Xenopus tropicalis: one gene and its partners. The protein of the gene in region 1 interacts with the protein of each later gene in a biochemical or structural test. Links are inferred from orthologs where the notes say so. Each region holds a gene or a part of one and is shown in the gene's direction. Other genes may lie near its edges.

Evidence for each region.
Region 2: of the proteins of uba1 (region 1) and ube2z, one has a biochemical effect on the other in vitro, tested with the Homo sapiens proteins (3 studies listed by BioGRID). The link is inferred for Xenopus tropicalis from reciprocal best matches to the Homo sapiens genes UBA1 and UBE2Z.
Region 3: of the proteins of uba1 (region 1) and cdc34, one has a biochemical effect on the other in vitro, tested with the Homo sapiens proteins (7 studies listed by BioGRID, with this or other methods). The link is inferred for Xenopus tropicalis from reciprocal best matches to the Homo sapiens genes UBA1 and CDC34.
Region 4: of the proteins of uba1 (region 1) and ube2q2, one has a biochemical effect on the other in vitro, tested with the Homo sapiens proteins (3 studies listed by BioGRID). The link is inferred for Xenopus tropicalis from reciprocal best matches to the Homo sapiens genes UBA1 and UBE2Q2.
Region 5: of the proteins of uba1 (region 1) and ube2c, one has a biochemical effect on the other in vitro, tested with the Homo sapiens proteins (5 studies listed by BioGRID, with this or other methods). The link is inferred for Xenopus tropicalis from reciprocal best matches to the Homo sapiens genes UBA1 and UBE2C.
Region 6: of the proteins of uba1 (region 1) and ube2e3, one has a biochemical effect on the other in vitro, tested with the Homo sapiens proteins (3 studies listed by BioGRID, with this or other methods). The link is inferred for Xenopus tropicalis from reciprocal best matches to the Homo sapiens genes UBA1 and UBE2E3.
Region 7: of the proteins of uba1 (region 1) and ube2g1, one has a biochemical effect on the other in vitro, tested with the Homo sapiens proteins (3 studies listed by BioGRID, with this or other methods). The link is inferred for Xenopus tropicalis from reciprocal best matches to the Homo sapiens genes UBA1 and UBE2G1.

The regions. Positions count from the first base shown.
Region 1 is NC_030684.2:525,443-529,572, forward strand, and holds the start of uba1 (ubiquitin-like modifier-activating enzyme 1), read left to right. Parts: upstream 1-1,330; 5' UTR 1,331-1,354; coding exon 1,355-1,468; intron 1,469-2,237; coding exon 2,238-2,296; intron 2,297-4,130. UniProt on the Homo sapiens protein: Catalyzes the first step in ubiquitin conjugation to mark cellular proteins for degradation through the ubiquitin-proteasome system.
Region 2 is NC_030686.2:12,230,080-12,234,045, forward strand, and holds the start of ube2z (ubiquitin-conjugating enzyme E2 Z), read left to right. Parts: upstream 1-1,166; 5' UTR 1,167-1,259; coding exon 1,260-1,453; intron 1,454-3,966. Other genes in the region: uncharacterized protein LOC101731254, read right to left, coding at 1,106-1,118. UniProt on the Homo sapiens protein: Catalyzes the covalent attachment of ubiquitin to other proteins. Specific substrate for UBA6, not charged with ubiquitin by UBE1. May be involved in apoptosis regulation.
Region 3 is NC_030677.2:105,629,502-105,633,652, forward strand, and holds the start of cdc34 (ubiquitin-conjugating enzyme E2 R1), read left to right. Parts: upstream 1-1,351; 5' UTR 1,352-1,508; coding exon 1,509-1,691; intron 1,692-4,084; coding exon 4,085-4,151. UniProt on the Homo sapiens protein: E2 ubiquitin-conjugating enzyme that accepts ubiquitin from an E1 ubiquitin-activating protein, and catalyzes its covalent attachment to other proteins by an E3 ubiquitin-protein ligase complex. In vitro catalyzes 'Lys-48'-linked polyubiquitination.
Region 4 is NC_030679.2:90,108,054-90,112,336, forward strand, and holds the start of ube2q2 (ubiquitin-conjugating enzyme E2 Q2), read left to right. Parts: upstream 1-1,483; 5' UTR 1,484-1,560; coding exon 1,561-1,719; intron 1,720-4,283.
Region 5 is NC_030686.2:19,654,190-19,658,400, forward strand, and holds the start of ube2c (ubiquitin-conjugating enzyme E2 C), read left to right. Parts: upstream 1-1,411; 5' UTR 1,412-1,544; coding exon 1,545-1,645; intron 1,646-4,211. UniProt on the Homo sapiens protein: Accepts ubiquitin from the E1 complex and catalyzes its covalent attachment to other proteins. In vitro catalyzes 'Lys-11'- and 'Lys-48'-linked polyubiquitination.
Region 6 is NC_030685.2:62,866,566-62,870,830, reverse strand, and holds the start of ube2e3 (ubiquitin-conjugating enzyme E2 E3), read left to right. Parts: upstream 1-1,465; intron 1,466-2,599; coding exon of another isoform or gene 2,600-2,630; coding exon 2,631-2,824; intron 2,825-4,265. UniProt on the Homo sapiens protein: Accepts ubiquitin from the E1 complex and catalyzes its covalent attachment to other proteins. In vitro catalyzes 'Lys-11'- and 'Lys-48'-, as well as 'Lys-63'-linked polyubiquitination.
Region 7 is NC_030678.2:101,249,464-101,252,963, forward strand, and holds part of ube2g1 (ubiquitin-conjugating enzyme E2 G1), read left to right. Parts: coding exon 1-175; intron 176-1,877; coding exon 1,878-1,964; 3' UTR 1,965-2,000; intron 2,001-3,500. UniProt on the Homo sapiens protein: Accepts ubiquitin from the E1 complex and catalyzes its covalent attachment to other proteins. In vitro catalyzes 'Lys-48'-, as well as 'Lys-63'-linked polyubiquitination. May be involved in degradation of muscle-specific proteins.

The DNA.
Region 1 (4,130 bases):
TGTCCCTCTGTACCGGCCCTGATACTGTCTGTCCCTCTGTCCCGGCACCGACCCTGATACGGTCTGTCCCACTGTCCCACCCCACTGTGGGTTCTCTGTTCAGGTTACCCACAGCCTTTTGGTGCCAGGATACCAATATAAGTAGGAGGAGCTTATATTTCTAGCCTGGTTACATTGTACCATTGAGTTGAGTTGTTGGGGGCAGAAACGTGGAAATAAAGACCAATTGCATTGGGGGTCACCCTGTTTGATTGCTCGCTCTGCTGCCACGGGGGGTTTAGCTGTGCGGCGAGGGTGGCACAAATAGTATAGGGGTGTTATTATATTGGGCTGCGTGGGGATGAGTTGGGCGCCTGTGAGTGTCACTGTGTGAGTACAGCTGCTACTGCTAGAGAGGCCTGTGTAAAGCCGCTTTGCCCCATGTTGGGGGGGGGGGGGTACAGTATGCTGGGTAGGTTATGCCAGGCTTCATACGGGGCAAACGCCAAATGGTGGGGCCCCAAACCCTTCCTGGGCCCCAGAGATACCGTAGAATTTCCTGCAGTCTCACTGCTGTGCCTGCCCCCGTCTCCCTGCCGTTGTACCTTCTCTCACCCCCAGGTGGGGCAATACCTGCAGCATGGCAGCTTTGTAATGCCCAACAGGAGCTGCTTGTTCTGCCCAAGAGCTGACATTCTATAATATTCATTATAGAGTTACAGAAATTGTTGTATTTGCTCTGTGTTTGCGCACACTGCTTGCTCGTCCCTCGTGCCCCGCCCCTGCTTGCTCGTCCCTCGTGCCCCGCCCCTGCTTGCTCGTCCCTCGTGCCCCGCCCCTGCTTGCTCGTCCCTCGTGCCCCGCCCCTGCTTGCTCGTCCCTCGTGCCCCGCCCCTGCTTGCTCGTCCCTCGTGCCCGCCCCTGCTTGCTCGTCCCTCGTGCCCCGTCCCTGCTTGCTCGTCCCTCGTGCCCCGCCCCTGCTTGCTCGTCCCTCGTGCCCCCCCCTGCTTGCTCGTCCTGGTGCCCCGCCCTGCTTGCTCGTCCCTGGTGCCCCCCTTCGCCGGCCCCCCCTGCTTGCTCGTCCCTGGTGCCCCGCCCCTGCTTGCTCGTCCTGTGCCCCGCCCCTGCTTGCTCGTCCCTGGTGCCCCGCCCCTGCTTGCTCCGTCCCTGGTGCCCCGCACCCTGCTTGCTCGTCCCTGGTGCCCCGCCCCTGCTTGCTCGTCCCTGGTGCCCCGCCCCTGCTTGCTCGTCCCTGGTGCCCCCCCCCTGCTTGCTCGTGCCCCGCCCCTGCTTGCTCGTCCCTCGTGCCCCGCCCCTGCTACGGTACCAGCCCTGTACAACCGCATACACTGACCTGATCTTTTCTCCCGGTTAGATGTCCAGCTCGCCGCTGTCCAAGAAGCGTCGCGTGTCCGGATCTGAGACAAAGACGGGTTCAAACTGCTCATCCTCCAACTCCGTGAGCACCGATCAGACTGCGCCGGCCAACGTGAGTGCCCCCCGGGCTGTGCCGCCATATTCTAACCCCTTTCTACTTTGCTCAGAGTCAACCTGTACCCTTGGCTTTCTAGCTGGGGGCCAGTAGTAATGTGGCCCCGAGATTAACCCAATGGGCTTATTGCAGGGGAGGGCTCTAGTGTGGCCCCGAGATTAACCCAATGGATTTATTGCAGGGGAGGGCTCTAATGTGGCCCCCAGATTAACCCAATGGATTTATTGCAGGGGAGGGCTCTAATGTGGCCCCCAGATTAACCCAATGGATTTATTGCAGGGGAGGGCTCTAATGTGGCCCCGAGATTAACCCAATGGATTTATTGCAGGGGAGGGCTCTAATGTGGCCCCCAGATTAACCCAATGGATTTATTGCAGGGGAGGGCTCTATGTGGCCCCCAGATTAACCAATGGATTTATTGCAGGGGAGGGCTCTAATGTGGCCCCCAGATTAACCCAATGGATTTATTGCAGGGGAGGGCTCTAATGTGGCCCCCAGATTAACCCAATGGATTTATTGCAGGGGAGGGCTCTAATGTGGCCCCCAGATTAACCCAATGGATTATTGCAGGGGAGGGCTCTAATGTGGCCCCCAGATTAACCCAATGGATTTATTGCAGGGGAGGGCTCTAATGTGGCCCCCAGATTAACCCAATGGATTTATTGCAGGGGAGGGCTCTAATGTGGCCCCCAGATTAACCCAATGGATTTATTGCAGGGGAGGGCTCTAATGTGGCCCCCAGATTAACCCAATGGATTTATTGCAGGGGATGGCTCGGAACGGGAATTCTGCTGAGATAGACGAGGGTCTCTACTCGAGGCAGCTGTAAGTATAAGACCCTCCCTGGCTGCATGTTATTCGGGGGGGCTTTCTTCCTATTGGCTGCAGGGTTTGGCTCCTCGACTGTTGCTGGGGGCCCCTCTGCTGTGTGGAACCAAGGCCTGGGGACTTTTTTCTCTCTGGGAGGTTAAACTGCCCAGTAGCTTTAACCCTTTTCAGTCTGTGTAACTTCAGTGACCTTTGACCTCCCCAGACCCCTGTATTGTTCAGCATGGCCAGGTGACTGCTGTCGGCCAATCCCGTGAGACTCACATGCAGCCCTAATATAATTGCTTGTTGGAGAAGCAACAGATCAGCGGATTTTGTGCTGACAACTCTTCCGGGTCTCCTTGGCCTTTATGGCCATGTGACTGCAGCCTTTGAGTGGGCCAATCAGAATGGGCAGCTGTACAGATGTGTGCCTTCTGGTATAGATTGGCAGCTTTCCCTATACACAGTTACTGTTTTGTGCATCCCAGGTCCTCCCCCCCCCCCCCCCCGTGTCTTTGTGGGGTCCCCCCCTCACTCCATGAACAACTATGTTGGGCCCCCAGTAAACCTGGCAGCCGGGGGGGTGTCTAATGGCTTAGCTAGAACTGAGAACGCTTGGTGGGAGGGGCTGGAGGGCTAGTGGCTTAGCTAGAACTGGGAACGCTTGGTGGGAGGGGCTGGAGGGCCAGTAGGGCTAATGGCTTAGATAGAACTGGGAATGCTTGGGGGGAGGGGCTGGAGGGCCAGTAGGGCTAATGGCTTAGATAGAACTGGGAACGCTTGGTGGGAGGGCCAGTAGGGCTAATGGCTTAGATAGAACTGGGAGGGGCTGGAGGGCCAGTAGGGCTAATGGCTTAGATAGAACTGGGAACGCTTGGTGGGAGGGGCTGGAGGGCCAGTAGGGCTAATGGCTTAGATAGAACTGGGAATGCTTGGTGGGAGGGGCTGGAGGGCCAGTAGGGCTAATGGTTTTAGATAGAACTGGGAGGGGCTGGAGGGCCAGTAGGGCTAATGGCTTAGATAGAACTGGGAACGCTTGGTGGGAGGGGCTGGAGGGCCAGTAGGGCTAATGGCTTAGATAGAACTGGGAACGCTTAGTGGGAGGGCCAGTAGGGCTAATGGCTTAGAACTGGGAGGGGCTGGAGGGCCAGCAGGGCTAATGGCTTAGATAGAACTGGGAACGCTTGGTGGGAGGTGCTGGAGGGCCAGTAGGGCTAATGGCTTAGATAGAACTGGGAATGCTTGGTGGGAGGGGCTGGAGGGCCAGTAGGGCTAATGGCTTAGATAGAACTGGGAACGCTTGGTGGGAGGGGCTGGAGGGCCAGTAGGGCTAATGGCTTAGATAGAACTGGGAATGCTTGGTGGGAGGGGCTGGAGGGCCAGTAGGGCTAATGGCTTAGATAGAACTGGGAATGCTTGGGGGGAGGGACTGGAGGGCCAGCAGGGCTAATGGCTTAGATAGAGCTGGGAATGCTTGGGGGGGAGGGACTGGAGGGCCAGCAGGGCTAATGGCTTAGATAGAACTGGGAATGCTTGGGGGGAGGGACTGGAGGGCCAGCAGGGCTAATGGCTTAGATAGAACTGGGAATGCTTGGTGGGAGGGGCTGGAGGGCCAGTAGGGCTAATGGCTTAGATAGAACTGGGAATGCTTGGTGGGAGGGGCTGGAGGGCCAGTAGGGCTAATGGCTTAGATAGAACTGGGAATGCTTGGGGGGAGGGACTGGAGGGCCAGCAGGGCTAATGGCTTAGATAGAGCTGGGAATGCTTGGGGGGAGGGACTGGAGGGCCAGCAGGGCTAATGGCTTAGATAGAGATGGGAATGCTTGGGGGGAGGGACTGGAGGGCCAGC
Region 2 (3,966 bases), on another chromosome or scaffold:
AATAAACAAGAACACTGGACACTGATAGGTAGAAATATTGGATAAGCAAGAACACTGGACACTGATAGGTTGAAATATTGAATAAACAAGAACACTGGACACTGATAGGTAGAAATATTGAATAAACAAGAACACTGGACACTGATAGGTTGAAATATTGAATAAACAAGAACACTGGACACTGATAGGTTGAAATATTGAATAAACAAGAACACTGGACACTGATAGGTAGAAATATTGGATAAGCAAGAACACTGGACACTGATAGGTTGAAATATTGGATAAGCAAGAACACTGGACACTGATAGGTTGAAATATTGGATAAGCAAGAACACTGGACACTGATAGGTTGAAATATTGGATAAGCAAGAACACAGGACACTGATTGGGCTTGGGCTTGGGAAGGAAAGCATAGGCCTGGGGGGGGGGGGCTATAAAACAGGAGTGACTATAAAAATAAGACAGAATTAATGTTAGTTTGTAAGACTTTTGTTCATACTATTGTATATCTGTGTGTCTTCTCCTGTATTTAGAGTCCTGATGGTACTTAAGAGAAGATTGTCTCCCCCCCCCCAGTAAATGACCTTTCACTGTGCAGCTTGCCTGTTCTATGACTGCCCTACAGAGCTCGAACATTTTGTATGGAAACCAACTCCTAGTTATGAGATCACTGAAATACGTCTGGGCAGTTGGTCAGCTTTAAAACAAGGTCTTTTGTAGAGACAGAAAAGTATTAGACAGTCATGTAACTTGTATGTATTTTCCTATCCACCAAGGGTCTGGGCGTTCGGAGACATGACCACACAAACCAACAAAATGGCTACTTACAGCCTAGGCACCGACAGTTCCTGAGTGAGGGATACACACCAATAGGATAAGCCGGCTCACAGTTTGTGAGTGAGGGATACACACCAATAGGATAAGCCGGCTCACAGTGTGTGAGTGAGGGATACACACCAATAGGATAAGCCGGCTCACAGTGTGTGAGTGAGGGATACACACCAATAGGATAAGCCGGCTCACAGTGTGTGAGTGAGGGATACACACCAATAGGATAAGCCGGCTCACAGTTTCCGCAGGAAGAACCCCTCTCACTCTTACTCACTAATACGCTGCATTAGACGTGCCCTCTAGTTTTGGTAATCCACAACTTCCGGTGGAAATACGCAGACACTCTGGTTGTTGTCTCTATGTTGGCTGTACTCTCTCTTCCCCGTAGTCTTGTTCCTCTGGAGTCCCGGAAGTAAGTGAGAAGCGGAATGGCGGAAAGTCCAGCGGCTGAAGCGATTATCCTCCCAGGAGCTGCGGCAGGTGGGGGTGTCCTTCCTCATCTGAGCGGGCTCCAAGCGCCTGGGACATCTCCTCTGACAACCTCCTCGGTGTGGGACCCGACAGCCAGCGCCGACTGGGATAACGAGAGGGCATCTAATCAGTGCGTGCTGCGGATAAAGAGGTGACACTCGGAGGAGCTTTTATCTCAAGACGGACATGTCTTTAGGAATAACTTCCGGGACATTTGTATTGATTGTGTGCGCTGTGCTTTATGGTCATGGGGTTTGTAGGTGCTACACAGGCAGAACTGGTACTATAGGATGGCAGGGGCCACATCTGGGGGGGGGGAGCATATCTGTCAGGGGACTCACAGGCAGAACTGGTACTGTAGGATGGCAGGGGCCACATCTGGGGGGGGGGGGGGGCATATCTGTCAGGGGACTCACAGGCAGAACTGGTACTGTAGGATGGCAGGGGCCACATCTGGGGGGGAGCATATCTGTCAGGGGACTCACAGACAGAGCTGGTACTGTAGGATGGCAGGGGCCACATCTGGGGGGGAGCATATCTGTCAGGGGACTCACAGACAGAGCTGGTACTGTAAGATGGCAGGGGCCACATCTGGGGGGGGCATATCAGTCAGGGGACTCACAGGTAGAACTGGTACTGTAGGATGGCAGGGGCCACATCTGGGGGGGAGCATATCTGTCAGGGGGTTCACAGGCAGAACTGGTACTGTAGGATGGCAGGGGCCACATCTGGGGGGGGCATATCTGTCAGGGGGTTCACAGGCAGAACTGGTACTGTAGGATGGCAGGGGCCACATCTGGGGGGGGGGCATATCTGTCAGGGGGTTCACAGGCAGAACTGGTACTGTAGGATGGCAGGGGCCACATCTGGGGGGGGAGCATATCTGTCAGGGGACTCACAGGCAGAACTGGTACTGTAGGATGGCAGGGGCCACATCTGGGGGGGGGGGTGCATATCTGTCAGGGGACTCACAGGCAGAACTGGTACTGTAGGATGGCAGGGGCCACATCTGGGGGGGGAGCATATCTGTCAGGGGACTCACAGGCAGAACTGGTACTGTAGGATGGCAGGGGCCACATCTGGGGGGGGAGCATATCTGTCAGGGGACTCACAGGCAGAACTGGTACTGTAGGATGGCAGGGGCCACATCTGGGGGTGGGGGGGGGCATATCTGTCAGGGGACTCACAGGCAGAACTGGTACTGTAGGATGGCAGGGGCCACATCTGTGGGGGGAGCATATCTGTCTGGGGACTCACAGGCAGAACTGGCAATGTAGGATGGCAGGGGCCACATCTGGGGGGGGGGGGGGGGCATATCTGTCAGGGGACTCACAGGCAGAACTAGCAATGTAGGATGGCAGGGGCCACATCTGGGGGTGGGGGGCATATCAGTCAGGGGACTCACAGGCAGAACTGGCAATGTAGGATGGCAGGGGCCACATCTGGGGGTGGGGGGAGCATATCTGTCAGGGGACTCACAGGCAGAACTGGCAATGTAGGATGGCAGGGGCCACATCTGGGGGTGGGGGGCATATCAGTCAGGGGGTTCACAGACAGATCTGGCAATTTAGGATGGCAGGGGCCACATCTGGTGGGGAGCATATCGGTCGGGGTTCACAGGCAGAACTGGCAATGTAGGATGGCAGGGGCCACATCTGGGGGTGGGGAGCATATCTGTCAGGGGACTCACAGGCAGAACTGGTACTGTAGGATGGCAGGGGCCACATCTGGGGGTGGGGTGCATATCTGTCAGGGGACTCACAGGCAGAACTGGTACTGTAGGATGGCAGGGGCCACATCTGGGGGTGGGGAGCATATCTGTCAGGGGACTCACAGGCAGAGCTGGTACTGTAGGATGGCAGGGGCCACATCTGGGGGTGGGGTGCATATCTGTCAGGGAGTTCACAGGTAGAACTGGCAATGTAGGTTGGCAGGGGCCACTTCTGGGGCTGGGGGGCATATCAATCAGGGTATTGGTACATGTGAAGTGACCAATGATCCCAACCAATATCTATGTACTTTGCCCATCACTTGGTTCATCAATCATTGCAGGTTTGAAAATATCAAAAAGCAACAACCACCATGGGGCATATGATCTCTCTCGAAACTCCACAGGGGTCACAAATTTTTTTGAAAAGTAAAAAAGACTTTTTTTCAAAGTTACATTAAAACATCTCCAATGACCCTAGGTGTTTTATGCCTTAGGGCAGTGGTGCCCAAAAGGTAGATTGCGGTCTACCAGTAGATCACTTTAAAGTTTCTGGTAAACTTCGAGGTGCAATGCAGTGGGATGACATCCTGCCGCATCATTCCCCCCCCCCAGCATACTGGGGCTTTTGAGTGCTGCTGCTCAAGCCATCCGTCTTTGTAGTTTCATTCCAGTGTAGCAGATTGTCCCCACCAAGCCACTGTATATATTTGCTCCCACTTAATATATGTTTCTGTGTGCAGACTACAAAGTGAGCCATGAAGAAGGGAAACTGCTACAATCCTTTCACATTAAACTTGAAGTTGGCACTGCATTTATATATTGCTATGTGTATTTGTTAAACATCGATTGATACTTTCTCTTGCTTATTGCTCCAAATGATAGACTTCACACTATTATAACTGTAGTAGATCTCATGACGGAGGCCCGGTGGGAAGAGTAGATCACAGGGTAGC
Region 3 (4,151 bases), on another chromosome or scaffold:
AACCTTATTTTCTGCTTTATAATTTGTAACAACCCCTAAGCTTAGCTTCTCAGCCACTGCCCAGAGCACACTGAGCATGTGAGTGTCACAGACTCTTCTAACAGAGTCATTCCCTGTGACAACTCTGAAATACTGGATCAGTACTATAATAAATATGCTAAACCTTTAGGCTGGAGCAATAAGTCCAGTATATAAAAACTTCCCAACTTCTTGCCATATTAATTTTTAAGGGTTTAGATCTCCTTTAACAAGGAATGTAACTTTAAAGCAAGCACACCCTGTGACTGTTGGGAGCCTGCTGAATAATAAGTAGTTTCATTATATGTATATGAAAGATATTATTTCTAATTTCAAGGTGTGCCAAAATGATTTTTCAGGGCCTAGTAACTTCTACTTATGCTACTGTTTACAACACCGTACATGGAGTAGGAAGCAACTAGTCTTTAACTAGTAGTAGTGAAGTGGCATTTTACAAAGTGTAGCACCGGCCTGATGGAAAGTGTTGGGGGCACCCAATAAATTGCCACCCACTGAATCTAAGTTTCCCTGTCCTTTAAAGTGCACCTATGACCCTTTAACTGCTTCTCCCACCAGAGGTGCAGGCTAATAGACGCAGCACTTTGGTTGAGGGAAAACGATAGTTTGGTTTTTAAAAAATACAGCAACTGCCATTTCTAGGCTGCCCGCACCTGAATGAAGCTCCCAGTACAGGCAACCATGTTGTTTGCCATGCGTGGGCATAATAAATGCGCCTTTCCACTTGCAGATGATGCGCATGCGCCTGATCTAGGCGTGGTGGATGCAATTCACCCTCCATCACAAGCATGCACATAATAAGCAACTTGTGGCACTCACTCATTATGCACATTGTGAGAAATGAGGCAATATGGCTGCCCACACCTGGAGCACTCTTCTGCTGCAGGCAGCCTAGCAATGGTAGGAGCTTTTTTTTTTTTCACAAAAAGCTATTGTTTCCCTAACCTCTGATGAGGGAAACAATTTGAGGGTGATAGGTGCCCTTTAAGGTGAGCTGTATTAGAAGGTTATATTCTAGGAGATTAAAGGATATATTCACTGTTCATTCAGAAACTTTGTGTCAAGTTGAAGTTTTCTACTGCACTACTAAATAAAAGCTCTGTAAATCACGTTTCCCCACTAGAAACCAACATCTAGCTTTGTTCCCATCAGCCTCAGCAAGACCCCTCCTTCCTCCGCTCAGATTACACTTCCCTCGCACCAGTGCGTCACAGTGTTCGTGGGCTTGTGGGATTTGTAGGCTGCTCCTCCCACAACGCCGTGGCTTCACTTGCAGTTTCCGGCACCCGTTACTCTTCCAGCCAGCAAGTTAATTCGCAAAGCGGCTCCGTTGTGCCGTAACATGTCGTAATAAAGCCTTTAGTCGTCTAGCAGCCCCTTCTTGCTAAAACACCAAAAGCCTACTGATCCCATCCTGCCCTACGCGGAGGACGCTGTGGGCTCCTGGTTAGAAAGCGGGGAGCGGAACTACCATGGCCCGGCCGGTGGCGCCGGTGCCCAGCTCTCAGAAGGCCTTGATGCTGGAACTCAAGGGGCTACAGGAAGAGCCGGTGGAGGGGTTCCGGGTCACCCTGGTAGATGAGGGGGATCTGTACAACTGGGAGGTGGCAATCTTTGGCCCCCCAAACACCCTCTATGAGGGGGGGTACTTCAAGGTGAGGGTTAGGTGTGTGTGAAATGGTGGAGTTCGTGATCATAGGGGCCTTGGGGAGGGAAAGCCACGCTGGGGGGTATTTAAAGAGGCAGTAAGTAATAGAGGCGTGGGTGGGTATTGCGTACATCGCTGGGCCTTTCTGCACAACAAGCTTTCCTTTGTTTATGTGACTCCTACAGCCATAGCCGTAACTTGCCCGAAACTAATGTTTCACATGAAACTCAACCAGCCCTCAAAGCTACCCCAAAACTAAAACTTACTGAAAGAGTGTGGCACTACTAAATCTTTAATCCTGTTTTCTGCGAGTTGTAGTCCAACAACAGCTGCTAGGCCCCAGCCACAGGATGCACGGTGTTAGAAAGCAATAAAGGCCTTTGTGTAACAGGAAAACGCTCTAAACTCTTCATCTAACTTCTGATTTGGCACTTTGTGTTTGTGGAGATACCCTGGGTTTATATGTATTCATCCTGTGCCTATTTCATAAAGATTTTCAGAAGATTAATCAAACATAGGCGTTCCACTCTTTTACATTTTAGTATGCCATACTAGCTACATGTATGAAGCCTCATTCTTTTAAGGATTAAAGGGGTCTCTATACTTAGTTTTGGGCAGTTTTGTTAAGATGTGCCTTCTATAGTGTGTGTGTATATATATATATATATATATATATATATATATATATATATATATATAATATTAGTTTCAAGGGACTACTTATTCCTAGACATTTGCACAGATCAAGAAATTTAATAGGGGTTTATAATGAGATGTTAAATGGCTAGAACAATGTAATTGTGTTTTACAGGGGTGGTTCACCTTTAAGTTAACTTTTAGTATCTTATATAAAGACCTATTCTAATCAACTTTTCGAATATTCTTCATTATTTGTTTTTCATAGTTTCTTAATTTATTTGCCTCCTTGTCCTAACTCTTTGCAGCTTTCAAATGGGGTCACTGACCCCTGAGCCAAAAAAAAATCATACTAAAAAGTTAAGTCAAAGGTGCACAACCCCTTTAAAGGGGTTGTCCACCTTTTACTTAATTTTTAGTATGATGTAGAGCGTAATATTCTGAAACAATTTGCAACTGGTTTTCATTTTTTATTTGTAGTTTTTTTTAATTATTTCAGTTTTTGGTTGTCTCCAGCTTGGAGTTTCAGCAGCTATTTGGTTGCTTGGATCCAAATTACCTAAGCCACCATGGTGTGATTTGAATAAAAGACTGATATATAAATACGAGAGGGCCTGAATAGAAACATAAGTAATGTACAATAACAGTTAAACTATAGCTTCGCAGAACAATAGTTCTTTGGCTTGGGGGTCAGTGACCCCCCTTTGAAAGCTGCAAAGAGTAAATAATTCAAAAACTATGAAAAACATAATGACTAATTGAAAAGTTGCTTAGAATTGGCCTTTCTATAACATACTAAAAGTTAACTCAAAGGTGAACCACCACTTTCAATATATGTATAATATACATATTATTAGGGATACACTGAATCCAGGATTTGTTTCGGCGTTTGGCCAAGATTCTGCCTTTTTCAACAGGATTCGGATTCAGACGAATCCATGTGCCTGGTTGAACCAAATCTGAATCCTTAAAATCACTATTTCTTTATGTAAACCCAGAAGTTGAACATTTTTATTCCTTTTATAGGTTAGTTTTCAAATGCAAATTAGAGTTTGGTTCGGTATTAGGCCAAATCTTTTACAAAGGTTTGAATCATAAAACTCTGGAATTGGTGCATCTCATTATCCAGCCTCCCTGGAACTGAAAACAGACCTTATTTTTTATTTACTTATCATTAATCTGATGACAGCTGAGCTTGCTTACCCATCATGCAGTTCTATAAGTATGAGATCTATTATTCTGAAAGCTTTTGGACATAATTCAAATCTTTTATTGGGGCCTCTTGCATGATAGCCACATTCAGAGTGCCAATGCACCCTCATTCAATAGGATTTTCAAACTTGCCGTATTGAAAATTGATCAGCTATTGGTCAGACGGGCCCTATACACGAGCCAATAAGCTGTTAATTTGGCCTGGAGGCACTGACCTAGCAGCTTTTATTGGCCCGTTTATGGCCTGCTGAAGCATTTAAAAATAAAAACCAAGATGATCTTTTAGCCAGAAACATGGATTTATGTTAGCTTAGTTATCATAAAGCACAAGATACTGTTTTATTGTTACTACAGAAAGAGAGCAAACAAGTAAAAAATTAATAAATTACACTTTTTTTTTTAATAGACTGAAATTTGGTTGATCTACTCTTAGATATGTTGCTTGAGAACCATTATTTTGTGCTAATCGGAGCTACGGTGTGTTATAACAAAGGCATGGATCTCAACCATACTCACTTGCTTGTTAACCATTACATGTTCTTTTTGTCCTAGGCCCGCTTAAAATTTCCAGTTGATTACCCCTACTCTCCTCCTGCGTTTCGTTTTTTGACAAAGATGT
Region 4 (4,283 bases), on another chromosome or scaffold:
TAAATTCATGATGTTTTATCATTGTGCTTAAGGACATGTGGGAATAAGATGCCATGCAAAGCTTTGCAGTTTATTGGATGGATTTTATTTGAATTGGAGTTCACAGATTGTGTAATCTACAAAAACATGATTTTCTGTGTGTTGTATACTCTTTGGAACCCTTATGACACATAAAATGTCAATAGTATGGATATATTGATGTAGAACAGGGGTCCCCAACCTTTTTTTACCCATGAGCAACATTTAAAAAAAGTTGGGGAGCAATGCAAACATGAAAAAAGTTCTAAATGGTAAACCACAGTGGCAGGCCCTAGGCAACCCGGTCGGCCTTCCCACCCCACCCCACCCCCACCGCAGTTCCATCAGGCGGGGATCGGCAAGGAGGGAGTCATTGCACCACCGTGTAATGACAACCGGCAGGGGCAAGAGAAGGGAGCATGGGCTAGGGGTAGGAAGGAGAGGGTCTTTAAGGTCAATAAGGAAGATCCAACCCTTTGCAAACACTATGTTAGAGTGGTCTAACCTATGGATCAATAATGCGCAAATAGGAAAACCTGTTACATGGGTCTCTGCCCATTAACAGTGGAACAAGGAAGCATAGGGTTTTAAACCATAGGGGTATATTAACCCTATGGCTCCCTACACCAGGGGCGCTGCTGCCGTGAGGCAAGTTGAGAAACTCGCCTCAGGCGGCAGCACCCAGCAAGTTACCAGGGACGGAAAAAAGTTGCTCCTGGTAACTTAAAGAACCGCAATTCTGATTTTAAATCAGAATTTCGGCTCCTCTAGTGCCGAGAGGACAATTGCGCTCTCAACACTAGCAATGCGCCCCCCCATGTGAAAAACCTAAACACAGGGGGAGTGAGGGGGCGGCTAGGACCCCTGAGGCAGCACTGCCCTATACTGTGCATTATCAATTTAACTGTTCAGAAGACTGCTGGCATTCATATTTATTATGTTAGTACCCAATGACATGTGAGAGGTACTTTGCTGTAAATACAACCTCTATGGTGTCTCTGAGGTGACTTTCAGATATATAACTTACCTTTTAGAGCTTTTGCTAAACATAAAGTTCAGCCTACGCGTTGATTAAACAACAGTTGATATAACAGTCGTGCCAATTTATATGCACTATCATTTCAGGAGTTTAGGATTTAAAAAATTTTTTTTAACATTTACAGCTACGCATTTCTACATGTTGAAGCCACTAAACGTTCTCCTGCTGCCAGAATGCTCAAAAATACCATGTTTATGCGCATGAACTGGGTAAATACCACACAGAACGGCCCCTAAAGTTTTCTTGCGGCTCTAAAGTTTCGCGCATGCGTTAATGGTAAGCGCTCCCTTAACAGCGGCGCGCTTGCGCATTGGTCTCGGTAAAGCCCCGTCTGTTACGTCATTGCGCCGGAAGCCTTCCGCTCGGTGGCCCTCGGTGGCGTAGCTCCGCATACAAAGGGAAGCTAGACCCTCTTTCTTATTTGTAGGCCGGGCGGAGAGCTCGGGCCCGGGGCATGATCCCGCTGAATACTCGGGCCTCCGCCGGGCGGAAATGAAGCCAAGATGTCGGTGTCTGGGCTGAAGGCCGAGCTGCGGCTCCTCGAGTCCATTTTCGGAAAGGAGCACGAACGGTTCCGGATCGTCAGCTGGAGGCTGGACGAGCTACACTGTGTTTTTATCCAAAGTACGGGGGGAGCTCTCACTATCCACTGCAACATCACGGTGTGTATACCCATCGTATGCAAGCAACGGGCCAGACACGGAATATACCAAGTGACTAGCTGAACTTAGGTTAAGCCTGACTATCTTTTGCGAGCGCCCTAATGTGTCCAGTCTTTAGGCGGCTGGGCAAGTTGCACTGTGTATTCAGCTATGGCTTGCTCTGCTGTACTACCGTTCACCCATGCACACACTAAACAGCTGACAAAGTACTCTGTATGTGCTTCCATCATCTGGGGGTCTCTGGGATAAACAGTGTATAGACTGTATATTGTTTTAGTTCTGTAGTATTTCTTTAACATAGCCCTCGGTTTATTGTGAATGTATGCCTTTTAACAGCAGCTGTGGGCTCAGAAACACCTAAAGGGCCATAGGTAGACTCTTTACTGTATAACTCATTGATCTACACACTGTACTGTTTAAATCACCTACCACAATAATCAGTGGTTGCTGCATGCATAATGGTCTGTGTCTTTGACCCTACATAGTTATTTGTATAGTTGCCAGTCTGCCTGTAAGGGGTACACTTGAGTTACTGGTGCCTGAATGTTTTGTATCCAGAACATTGGCTGTCTGTCAGGTATATTAGCCCATGTGATGCTTTCTTAGGTTTATTTTCTTGCACACCTGCTAGGCTGCACCAGTGCAGATGCCTTTAGCAACCCACATCCCATATGTTTTGATTATTTTGTGTTTGTAAGGTAGAAAATGAAAGCAAAGATCTGATTGGTTCTGTAGTTTAGTGCATGAATGCAGGGTTGTAGTTGTATGTAATTTAACAGCAGTGTGCCAGAATATATGCTACTTAGTACTTTTCCATAGTTTGTGCAAGCATGGCCAAACAAACATCTAGAAATTTTTAGGGTGAGAAGTTTTGGGAGTTGTAGTTAATGAGACCTTATGTATGTATGTATATCTTTATTTATAACGCACTACTTATATACGCAGCGCTGTACAGTAGAATACATTAATACAAACGGGGGGGTTATTATAACATAATAGATAAATACAAAGTATAACAATAAATACAAGATACAGTTGCAATAAGTTAAGAGTCAAAGACACAAGAGGATGTAGGTCCCTGCCCCGTAGAGCTTACAATCTATATACAGACCAGCTATCAGTTTACAGAGACATGCCTTTTTACTCAGAAGAAAAGCAATGCAAAACTATGGTACTCCCATGACAAATCCATAAATTATGCATACGGAAAATACGTGTTTTTTTTTGTGATATTGTGTTCATTACAAGACCCCATTTTGTCTTGAGGATGTGGTTTACTGCCTAGGCCCAGACTGGCAGGCTGTAGATTTTGGCAATTGCCAGAGGGGCTGCTGTAAGAAGCCATAGGCATTCACTATTTAGTGAGCTGGTGTGGGGGCTATATGGTTCTCTGTTTACTTAATATGCCAGGGCCTATTTTGAATCCCAGTACGGGCCTGTTACTACCTATGGCTGCCAAAGAAGGGTCAACTTTCCTTCCAGAAATGATTATACACACGCACACAAATCAGTCATTTGTCTGTCTCCCCAGCCAGACTGAATGATGGCTGCACCAGGAAATATTAGTATTAATCTAATCTTTATTCATTTCCTCTTATTGGTTGATGGGTTGAGTGTTGGACATCACTGTCTATACACTGTACACAACAACCATGTCAACTCTGATCACATATGCAAATTATGATTATTTTATTGCAATTTCTAATTAAGCTGCAAGTAAACATAAAAATAACTTTGTGTGTGACCTGCAAAGGACCAGTTTTGTATGTGCATTCAAAAAGTAGTCTAAACCACTCTACCATCTGAGAGCAGCTATGTTGATCTGCTCCACAGTCTTGTCTCAGAACCCAACCTCCACATTACTTTCATTGGTGGTCAGGGAACAGGGCAGATGGCAGCTTTTCTTAATACTAAATAGTAAACGTCATGCTCTTTGGTAGTAGTTAGACCAAAAACAAAAAATATATCTAAGCCGTTAGAGGGGTGATTCACCTTTATTTCAGTTTGGTACAGAGAGATATGGTTCAATTTAAAAACAGATCCTTTTCAAAATATCTACCTTCAAAGTTAGTGCTGCATAAAGTCTCATAGCTTTGCCATTGCAGGGCGGTACAGGCTATGCTTGCTTCTGTGTATACCCTTCTCTTGCTTTTTTTGCTAGTCATTGATCAGATTCGCTGATTCCTGTTTGCCAATCATATCACAGATATTCAGATGAATGGCACTTGCACAGTAGTAATCAATGCCTACTCTTCATTTACTCTGCTGGGACTGTCAGAATAATGTAGACAGGACCTTGCCCAGCCAGGGTGTCAGCGATCCGATCCCCTGCCTTGGGCAGAGTGCAGAGACTTAAGGATCTTTGCAGCACTCATTTTGCAGGTAGATATTTTACAAATATCAATTTTTTTTTACGCTAAACCAAATTTACAAAAATCATATAAATGACTATCATTTGTCCCAACCTGTAATAAAGGTGAATTACCTATTTAAAACATAATGTACTGCTGCCCTGTACTGGTAAAAGTTGTGTTTTTGCTTTAGAAACACCCCTATAGTTTATA
Region 5 (4,211 bases), on another chromosome or scaffold:
AACACTACGAAAAAATCACAACTTTTTGCGCAAGTTTTAACGCTACGAAAAAATCACAACTTTCGGAATGGCTACGAAAAACTCGCGTTTTTCCGCAAAAATCGTATTGGTAACGAAAAAGTCGCGATAATTTTCCGAAAAAATCGCAAAATACCGATCATTACGAAAAAAACGCAATCGGACGCATTCGGCCTGTTCGTGAGTAAGTAAATGGGCCCCTTAGTTGAGCCTTCTTTTGCAAATGTAACAGCCTCTAGACGCCTCCTATAGCCTTTGATGAGTGTCTTGGTTCTCGATGGCGGTATTTTTGACCATTCACCCATACAAAATCTCTCAGTTAAATTTGATGCCTGTTGAGCATGGAAGTTTCCTCTCAACGCAACTTCTGCGATTTCAGTGAAATCGCGCCACCACGTATGCCATCCCACCGGCGATTTACACTTTCGCCGGTGGGATGGCATTTCTGGGAGATTAGTCGCCCGGGAACAGGGAGATTTGTCGCGGGCGACTAAGCTCCCCGTGTGCCAGAGCCCTTAGGAAAAGTTGGGGAAATTGCTTGTAGCATCAGGAGACTGGGGGAGGGACAGTGCAATTAAGTAACTACCCAGATTATAGGGGGAGTTGCAGAGCTGTCAACCTCCGATAGTCAAGGATGTGCAGTGTTATTTTTTCGTGCTAACCAGAAGTGATGTCAATACATGTGCATAACTGACCTTTGAAGCTGAAAAATTGTTGATTGCGCATATGCAAATGCTCACTATGTTGTCACTGAATGCACATGCATGAATTTAATGAGAAAAATCAGAATGCTATCAACAGACCAGAGACATGGGAGAGAAAGCCAAATTGGGTAACTCAGAAAAATATAGGGGGGTTGACAGCTCTGTGTAAGCACATATGGGGACTCTTCAGTGGAAGATTATTTTAGTTTCCCCCTTGCTGGACAGACTTTTACATGGGGTGGAAAGGGGTGGTATGACAGGAACAGTTTATGGCAACTACTCTGTAACATTAGAGAAGTACTGCTCTCCTTCTAATGACTTGACTGGGTTAGTTAACATCCTTGTTACAAGAAAACGTCAAACGATTGAAATTTGAGCAAAGGTATTTTATACTTTTCACGTCGTAATAAAAACAAAAAGTATAATAAAAAGTATAACTTCAAGATAATACTCTTTCCTGACAGAACTTTCCCACACACGTATTATTTATTTATTTATTTATTTTGATAGGCAACGGAATTCTTCCAATCACAATAAAGCATAGCAGTCTACTTTAGCCAATCCCGTACCTTTGTTTAAAACGCCTACGCTTCCGACACCAAACTTGCCAGTCTCTGCGGAAACCGTTCTGTGAGCATTCCGATTGGTTAAATTAAATATTTAAGCGACGCTGATTGGACGCTTTGTGTAGAAGTTAAAAATTTCAAATAGAGGGCGGTAGGTTTAGTTACAGAATTAAGAGGAAGCGTCAAAGATCTCTGGGAGTGGAAGCCGGATACTCAGCAACGTTCAAGGCCCGGTTTTTGTCATTTTTACATACCGATGGCTTCACAGAATGTGGATCCAGCTGCGGCCAGCTCGGTGACTGCAAGGAAAGGACAAGAGTCGGGGACCTCGGCCGCCCGTGGCTCTGTGGGAAAGAGGTGAGGAGAGCCGGCTCTTGGGAACAATGGCCGCTGTGCTTATGGCGATGGCAGTGTAGCTGGATCTTGGCACACCCTCTGTATAATTCAGATGGGTCACTTGAGATATTTTGCTATCAAATTTTATTCAGCTTATAGCAGCTATATCTCTGTTTTCTAAACTTCATTCATTTTACGTATCTCTTCCACTGCTTAGTTACAATATACAGGTTTTCTCTACTCCCTTTAATATCCGCTACATTGTCTACAGTGTCACATCCTGTTTTTGGTCCAGATCTGTGGCTGCCATGGTTAGTAAATTGTTCTGATCCAGCTTGCAGTCAAATGAGTTTAGAGTTTAGTGTCAGTTCTAAAACCAGTCCAAAAGTCTGAAAGTAGCCCAAAAATAGGCCAAAATGTGCAAGTATATATGGGAAACATGCCTTTTTAAAGCGTATAATCACTACCCAGTTACTGGGAATGCTGATAATTCCCTGACCTCTGTGCCCAGTCCAGCTGGGAAGACTACAAAATTAGATTCCGAATGTTGCATTAACCCCAGACATGAGATACATATGGGTGTGCTGAACTACAACTCTCAGCAGTCCCAAGATATCCGGAGAGTTATATCTTAATGATCAACTGCAGAACTGCCCCCACATCACAGCAGAAAGTAATAGTACAATCACATACCCTATAGAGCAGGTTGCAGAATATACAGGTTGACCCTGAAAGAGCAAAAAGGAATACAAAACAGAGCCTCTATCTATACTGTCCAATTGCATGCTGGGTATTGTAGTTTTATATTAATCCTAACTGTAGATTAAGGCTCCAAAAAATAGCCCCAAACTGTTCCTTGGTGGGTTTGTACCTTGGAAACCTGCCAGGGCTTTAAATTGGTAGCCCAATTTTGCAGAAACACCAACCTGGCAACTCTGCTGCAAGTGTGGCCATTAAGGAAAGCACCATTGACTTGGGGAGGGGGGTAGGCAATATGTAAGACACCCCCACCCAATGGCTGTAATTGCTTAAAGCCTTAAACAAAGGTAGTGTTATTTTACATGCCATCCCAGGCAGACTTCAGCTGCTAATTTGGCCACTTCAGACCTAGTCTGTAGCTTATCTGCCTATGTATGGGGCCTTCAGACTGTCTGAAACTGGATCAGACATTGATAATGCACTGACTTGGTGTGCCATTCACTGGGGTGGGGGGGGGGGGTTGCAGTCATGGTCCTGTAGCCAGAGGGTGTTTGGGGTAAAGGATTCTGGTCTAAATCTAGAATAATAAAATCATATGTCTAAAGGTGGCCACACACCTTTTTGAGATGGGTCAGTCTATCGGACTGGACGACCTTTTGGCTAACAAAGTGTAGTATCGAAATGAGAAACACTTGGTCCTCTGGCCTTTAGGTTGTCAGGCGGAAGCTTGATGAAAGCAGAGGAGCTGTGTTCCCATAAGGGAATGCCTGACATATTTTAGTTGGGGACTTTGCACATGCACCTTCTGCTTAATTATGCTTAACTTAATTTGCCCTGGCAATTAGGACGGCGGGAGGCATTTTTCTTTTTGGCCGCCAGCTGGAGCCTTACCAAGGCAATCCATGGCATTGCACTCGCACACTTCAGCACCTGTCTTGTTTGATTTGTGCACCATGGATTGGTGTCATAGTCCTCTGGGTTTGACCCCAGGCCAAGACCTGATGGGTCTCACACTAGCTTCGGCAAAGGTGGACGTACCCGCCCATGCTGTTCATTGGTGAAAGCCTTGGACACATGAGCATTGGAGCCCAAGCCTTCACATAGGACTCACGCAATGAGTCAATATTATCATCAGCCTGGTGGAGCATGCACAGAAGAGGAACTGGAGATTTTGTTCATTAGAGTGCGTGTCACTGTTGACCTCCAGATTCCCTTCCCTGTATAAAACCATCAGCAAATGGCAACCTTAGTTTATGGTTGCTATAGCTGCCTGCTGATTGTGATTGCACCGATCTGCAATCTTTGTTTTCTCCAGTGATGGTTCTGTCTTCTCCCACTTCCCCAGCTGCCTGCTACTGCGCAGAAATGGCTAAATTGGCTAAATATTTAAGTTCATTTCTAGTATGTTATAGAAAGGCAAATTATAAGCAGCTTTTCAAGTGGTCTTCATTTATTTTTTTTTATAGCTTTTGCCTTCCAACTCTTTGCAGCTTTCAAATAGGGGTCACTGACCCCAGCAACCAAAAAACTATTGCTCTGTGAAGCTACAGTTTAATTGTTGTTGTCAGATTATATTTCTCTATTCAGGTGTTCTCCTTTTCAAATCAGTCTTTCATTCAAATCACACCCTGGCTGCTAAGGTAATTTGTATCCTAGCAACCAAATAGCTGCTGAAACTCCAAGCTGAAAAGCAAAAGCTGAAATAATCTACAAATTTGCAATTGGTCTTCATTTTTAATTCTCAGAATATTACTATCTACATTATACTTAAAGTTAACTCAAAGATGGACAGCTTCTTTAAGATGTAATGGAAGGCAATATGGTGGCCGCAAGTTCAGCTGGCCAGAATAGTTTAAAGCCCAAACAGGGATAAGGTATGTATTGTGTT
Region 6 (4,265 bases), on another chromosome or scaffold:
GATCTTTTAAAAATCTACACGTGTATGCCACCTTTGCCCTATGTTGTATCTCTTATCCTTCTATTCACTGAGTTAGCAGGTAGGAGTCCCCAAATCATTTGTACTTTGTGCTCCTAAATAAACAGAAGTGGAGGCTCTTGTGCACTTGAAATTGACTAAAGAGCTGTTTCTTCTCTACAAATGGGCCATTTATATGGAGAGGGTACCATTCCTAAAACATCTGCAATAACTTTAGAATTAAAAAAACCTCACTTTCATCAGCTAGGAAAGCCCTTCCATCTTACTGAATTATATTTATTTTTCATAATGTATTATTCTTGAACTTTTTGTTAAAAATGAAGCTACCTGCCATATTGCCCTTGAGCATGCATGATGCGTAGGGGCCCGCAGAGGTAATACCTTACAGCACGGGTCCCAACCTTTCATACAGAGAGCCACAGTCAAACGTAAAAAGACTTGGAGAGCAACACAAGCACCATAAAAGTTAATGGAGGAGCCAAATAAGGGCTGAGATTGGCTATTAGGCAGCCTCTATGCACACTATCAGCTTACAGGGGCTTTATTTGGTAGTAAATCTTGTTTTTATTCAACCAAAACTTGCCCCCAAGTCAGGAATTCAAATATAACTACCTGCTTTGGGGGCACTGAGAGCACCATCCAAGGGGTTGGGGAGCAACATGTTGCCCCTGAGCCACTGATATACAGACAGAAAAGGCCAAGGCACTGGATGGACAAACCCAAATAAACACGACATCTTTGAACTCCTCTTTTGCATTCATTTTAAGGTCCTCTCTTACTACAAGCATAGTGATTGGGTGGAAGCAGAACCCATCAAATCATATCTTCCTTAGCCCCCCAAGCATTACCGCAACTGTGATTGGTCAGCACAATACAGGAGTATTTCCTCTCCTAGACCTATATGAAGTAGTGCCCCCAGGCGTTTAAATGATGACGAAACGTAGGAACTTTTCGGCAGCCTCTCGCTTCAGTACAACGTGCCATTAAACAGCGCAAACTCTATTGTCCCCGCTTGGCACTGAGGGAACCCGGCAGCCGGCCGCACAGGGACGAGCCCAGGGAGCGCGCAGGAAGTTGCTGACTCCAGTGTTTTGCGCCGGGCGGGGGAGGAGCCAAGGGGCGGGTCTGCGCGGATAGGGGCGGGGCTAAGGGAACAGGAAAACCCCGCGGCGGCCGCTTTGGGCACGAGCCGGAGAGTTCGCGATTCTTCTGTTCCCGAATCCGCCCGCTCCCGCGCCTCCCACCGCGCTCAGCAGCGCCGCCACCAGCCTGCGGGAACGCACTGCAGCCTCCCCCCCCCACCTCCTCCTCCTCCTTTCTTCCGACTCTCAATGTTCGGCAGCCGGCCGGAGCCTGCTCGTTTCCCCGGCTCTGCGTTCCCAGGATCTCCCGGCGGCAGCGGCACACACAGCGGCGTGAGGAGAGCAGGGACCGGCGCGCCCGGAAGGTAAAGGGGGAAGCGGGGAGGGAGGCGGGGAGACGGACAGCTTTGTTCTTGTTTTCAGCCCCGGAGAAGGCAACGAGGAGGAGGAGGGTGCTAGCCCTGACTTCACGCCTCACTTGCTACACACCATGCTGATATCCTAGTGCGGGGCTGAGGGTAACCCTTACCGCTCCAGCTGCTGTGGGACTACAACTCCCAGCATCCTTGCTCCAGCTGTGCTGGAAGGGAACGCTGGGAGTTGAAGTTACGCCTGTGGTGCCTGTCTGTGCCAGTCCTACTGCCCAGTCTCACAGCCCCCCAAGCACCACAAAGGCTGCTTCCTCCCTCCCCAATCCCTATAGCACGGCCCCCTCCTTGGCTTTATAGAGCCCCCCTCACCGTGACCAGGGCTGTTTAACCTGACCCTTTCTGGAGAAACAGCTCCACTGCTGACAGAGAGGCATCTGGGAGTTTTAGTTTAGCAGATCTGTTGTATGGACCTTCCAGAGTGGCACTTTGAGGAAGTATTCATTTGATATGAAGAGTAAATCAGGGATGGCCAGTCTATGCTCTGTTGGTAAATAAAGCCCTGTATAGCCATGCCTATGTAGGATAAAGCCCCCCCAGGTATGTCCAATCAGAACCCCCCTGCTGTGCTTGTTGAACAACAAACCTGAAGCACCCTGATAAACTGAAATGGCCAGGGACTGTTTCTTTAAGCTGGAGTGTCCAGGCTGGGGTAAATATTAAAACCCTGCTCCTCTTCCTTAATTGGGTACATGCCAACGGGCAAAAAGTAGGAATTGCATACTCCCCCTCCCCCCTAACAAGACAAATCATAACAAACTTTTGGAGAGTTATACATTTCACATGGGATTGGAGTTCTGGAGCCCTTTAACTGCTACACATGGGGAACGGGAATGTAGTCTTTATCAGTTGGTGATGTGAGTAATGGACTGACATCCTAATCTTAATTATCTCTACAAAAGCTTGGCTTTGGGTGCTAATGCATTGATAAATCAGAATTAGGCAGAGTGGGTACCTGTTATAGCTTCAATGGCACCTAAATGTTACATTGTATTGTGTGCAACAGATGTATCAAATCTAAGCAGTTAAACCTGCCCATTCACCTACACACTTCTTGGCTTGTCTCGGCAGATTGCATCCAGAAGAAACAGAATCCATCAAGATGTCTAGTGATAGACAGCGCTCAGATGATGAAAGCCCTAGTACCAGTAGTGGAAGTTCAGATGCTGACCAGCGAGACCCACCAGCACCAGAACCTGAAGAGCAAGAAGAAAGAAAACCCTCGGCGGTCCAACAAAAGAAAAATACCAAACTGTCCAGTAAAACCACTGCTAAGCTGTCCACTAGTGCTAAAAGGTAATAAACCACTTGATACAGGATATTAAATGCAGCTCGGGTTCCCACGGGGAGTGTTGACATGAATTTGTGTGTCTTTTTAATGGATGCAGCTTGGATTGAAATTAAAGCTGTTTTTTTTTCACATACGTTCTGCCCTTACACCGCTTTCCATGTTTTGTTTGGCATGTGCTTTCTAATAATCCTCTAGGGAGTGCATAAACATGGAAAGAACCAAAAAGTAGGGTGACAATGGCAGAGAGACAGATTTAGCCTGAGTTATTACATAGAGGTTACTGTGTATCTAAAGGGTCATCAGTTTTCAGGTTACCAAGTGACTTGTGGGACTGTGCACCCTTGAGGTTAGGTGCCTTGGCCATGCAGAAAATGTGACTGCAGAGTAGAGCACAAGCTAGACGTTTTTGTTGTACTCAACTGGTTGAACATTTGTTCTAGCCCACCTTTGCCATATGAAGCAGAGTGAGCCAGCGATTAGTTGCAATGGTATCCATGTTAAACAGTTTTATTAGTGGTACTTTTTTAGGCAGAACTTGGGTTACTTACTTATCACTCTATGTAACATGTAAGTATCAGTTTTATCTATGGGGCAGATTAAAGGTGGCCATACACGGGCCGACTATAGCTGCCGATATCGGTCCCTTGGACCGATTCGGCAGCTAATCGGCCCGTGTATGGGGAGAGCAGATCGGCCTGGAATTGGCCAGATCTCGATCGGCCAGGTTAGAAAATCTGGTCGGATCGGGGACCGCATCGGCTCGTTGATGCGGTCCCCGATCCGACTGCCCCATTGCCGCCCACATAATCCGATCGTCTGGCCCCAGGGCCAAACGATCGGATTATTATTTTTTTTACCTAAATGGTCCCCGATATCGCCCACCCGTAGGTGGGGATATCGGGGGAAGATCCGCTCGCTTGGCGACATCGCCAAGCGAGCGGATCTGCTCGTGTATGGCCACCTTAAGTTTAGTCACATTGCAGCACTCTTTTCAGTAGCATGGTAAATTCATTCATATGCTTTAACGGGCATAGTGCAAGCTGAATGGGGCCCTCCAAGAGACTTTTATTATTGCCACTAGCCTGCCCAGGCATTCTGTATTCTTTGTATGACATCATTATTTTAATAACATTAAACATTGGTCTTTTAGAATGGACCCATAAAGCAATGTTTTGAGCACAGTGTTGGCCTTTTTGTGTATGTGTCAATCTTGTCCCCATTAGATTTAAAAAAAAAAAAAAAAAAAACACTTTATTGATGCTTTCTGCCATCCTAGAAGTGAACAATTGCTATCTTGTCCTGTATTCTAATGGCCAAACAATTGTCCTGTTTGGTCATTTCAAGTGTGGCCAGATTGTGTGATATGATTGCAATGTTCAAGGACCAACCCAGCCAAATTCTCTTGAATTGCCCCATGTTTGGCCAGCCTGGGCAGTTGTTTTTTTT
Region 7 (3,500 bases), on another chromosome or scaffold:
TAAGAATGGTGATGTATGTATTTCCATTCTTCACGAACCCGGAGAAGACAAATATGGCTACGAGAAACCTGAGGAGCGCTGGCTACCTATCCATACAGTGGAAACCATAATGATCAGTGTAATTTCTATGCTAGCAGACCCTAATGGAGACTCTCCAGCAAATGTGGATGCAGCGGTACATTCTTATATACTTTCTTATATGTAAATTTATTTTCTACAAAGGGGCTCTCTGGATCAATGTATAAAACTTTAATTTGGGTTGTTGCTTATAGGACTGATACATGCTGTGTTGTGATTTTTATGGGTTATATTGAGAGCGAGCAATGGCTGAGAAACCAGAGGAGCACTGGTTAAACATAGTTAACCCATAAATTAGATTTGTTCCTAAAATTGCTTTTGTTCAAAAGTGCAATCCCTGATGCATTACAGTTGCCTCATGTTCAGAACGTCCTCTTTGCCTTAGCTCAGAACTGATCATTTGTTTAGTAAGGTTAGACAACTGTATGAGAGCAATTGATATCCATTTTTAATGGATCTGATTCCAAGCCATCAAATCAATTATGCATAATGCGTTATGGAACGGGGCACAAATGAATAAACAAATCTTATTTAAGCTTTTAAACAAAATTGTGGAATTGTAGCTGGTCTCTAAATTTGAAACGTGTAAAGACCAACTCCTTGCATGACATGAAACAAATTGTTAGGGATGTACAGAATCCTGATCCTTAAAATCAGGTGACATTGGATAACTGTACAATGTTGGTGTAGTTAGTGGGGTGTTTTTTTTTTTTTTGTTTTTTCCCACTGATCTGCAAAATGGCTAGTGCCATTTTCCTGTCTGCTGGTGGTGCTGCTGCACTGTTTGCCACCCACTGGAAATTACATATTACTGGGGATTTACACTGATGCAGAAATATCTGCCCGTATTGCTTATGTGCAGAGTTGTCTTTCAGCAGAGTAATACAGTGCAGCTACAGCTCCTTATATAATCCACATACATTCTCCCCTACTCCCCAACCACTGAACCACCAAGGTTGCACCCATGAGGCAGGGGCATCATCAAAGAATTACTAAGAAGTTAAATTGATATATTATTTCTCACTGTTCCCAGGCCCCACATGATGTAATCAGCAATGGGGTCTGGACTGGGATCCAAAATAGGCCCTGGCAATCTTGCAAATCTACCATTCCGCCAATATATTTCAGGGTTGTTTTGGCAGTCCTATTGTAGGATTGCAATGACTAGGTATCAGTGCAAAATACTGCCAAACAGTGCAGATACATCAAACCCTTATAGGTAATGTGGAAAGAAGTTCTTAAGTGCACTGCAGTACTTTCAGCTGAGTGCACAGTCCACTTGCAGTATCTTTCCAAATGACACAGAAAAGTATAAAGTGCTGCACTTGAGATGTTGTTTTACAATACCAGGTATCCAATGAAGAACTATCATTAAATGAAAAATGTAATTGAAACTTTATATTCTATCCCTTGTTGCATCAGATGATAGACTGTTATCTCTGATACATGATCTGGGCATAGGGAGCACAGAGTAGCCTTTTATAGGAGCTGACCGTCAAAAAAAAAAAGTGTGATTTTGGGGGAGGGTTGGTATTAAAGCAATACTGAAACGGTCCTATAAAGAAACTTAATTGTTGTAGGCAGCTTTTAGGTAGACCACTTAAGTCGGGTAACGTTTGGGATTTTTCTCCCTTCCAACAAAAAAAGCCTTACTTTTCATTTATTTATATAAGTATTTTACATGCATAATGTTAAGATCTGGTCTCTGGCTTGGATGCAAAAGATAATCTGATTGTGTAAGGAATATGGTGTTGTACAACTCGGCATTTAACTAAATGCATTGTATTGTGCATGTACAGAAAGAGTGGAGAGAAGACCGTAACGGTGAATTTAAAAGAAAAGTTGCCCGCTGTGTAAGAAAAAGCCAAGAAACAGCTTTCGAGTGACATTTAACCAGCAGCTAGTAGCTTCACAATTTCAGGGTAAGTTTCTGTGAATATACCAATTCCTGTAAATAAGTCCATACATTCAATTTGTTGTAATGTCTAATGCACATTTAGACTGGTGACAGCTTAATCCTGTTGAAAGTTTTTAATAAGCTTTTGTATATTGCAAGTTATCAAGGATGGTCTTTAAAGGGATACTGTCATGGGAAACATGTTTTTTTCAAAATGCATCAGTTAGTAGAGCTTCTCCAGCAGAATCCTGCATTGAAATCAGTCTTTCAAAAACAGTTTTTTTTTTTTTATATATATATTTAATTTGGAAATTTCACTTGGGGCTAGCCATATTCTTCATTTCCAAGGGTGCTGCAGCCATGTGACTTGTGCTCTGATAAACATCAGTCACACTTTACCGCTGAGCTGATAGTTGGAGTGATATCAACCCCCCTCCCAGCAGAACAGTGGGAATGTAGCAAGATAGCAGCTCCCAGTAGATATCAGAATAGCACTCAATAGTAAGAAATCCCAAGTCAGTCTTCGGACTCCTCCAGTTACACTGCGTAGGAGAAACAATCGGCTTTCAGATAACCTTTCTAATGTGTAGTGCTGGCTCTTTCTGAAAGCTCAGACTCAGGCACAATGCACTGAGATGGCTGCCTACACACCAATATTGCAGCTATAAAAATACGTTTGTTGGTTCAAGAATAACATTTTAAATGGTGTAGTGAATAATTTGCTATGTAAACTGTGCAATTTTAGAAATAAAAAGTATGCTATAAAAATCATGACCGTATCCCTTTAAGGAATGGCAACACTGAAACATTTGTGTTTATAGTAATTAAATGTGTTCTATTGCCATAAATGTTTGCTTCAGAAACACTACTATATTAACTATACTATATTATATTAAGCCATTGGGGGCATTCAAGTTGAACTAGGGCTTACTGATGCAGGTTTACACAATAAATAAGCTCTATAGATTAGAGTGGTTTTGTTCTTACACAGGAAAAAACAGAAGTCCAATGCAATCCAAGTCTCTTTACAGAGCTGTAGACTAAAAACCTCATATAAAACAGGACATTTGTTGCCAAGAATAGTTTTTTTAGGTTCTGGATCAACATATAGAATCTTTGGATGTAAGAACAAATATTTTCACTTTATGACATTATTTGTCCCTTAATGTAAAAATGGGGCAGCACAACGGCTCAGTTGAGTAGTTCTATTCCAGCTTGGGCACTCTAGGAAATTTGTGTTCTCTCCATGTCTGGGTGCTCTTGTTTCTTTCCACACATCAAAAATATAGTCAAGGACATTGGCTACTGATAAAATTTACTTATTTATAGGATTCCTAACCTGTGTTCTTTGACTAGGACCACAGGTTTGCTGCTAGGATTCATGCCCCCACTATTTCAGGTGAAAGGGGTTTGCCATTGGCATTTTATTTTGGAAAGATATAAGTTTGCTTAATTGTCTCTAACTCATACAGGTTGTTTGGCACTTTGTTTCGCTTAAATGGGGGATGTGGGTTTATCTACTCTC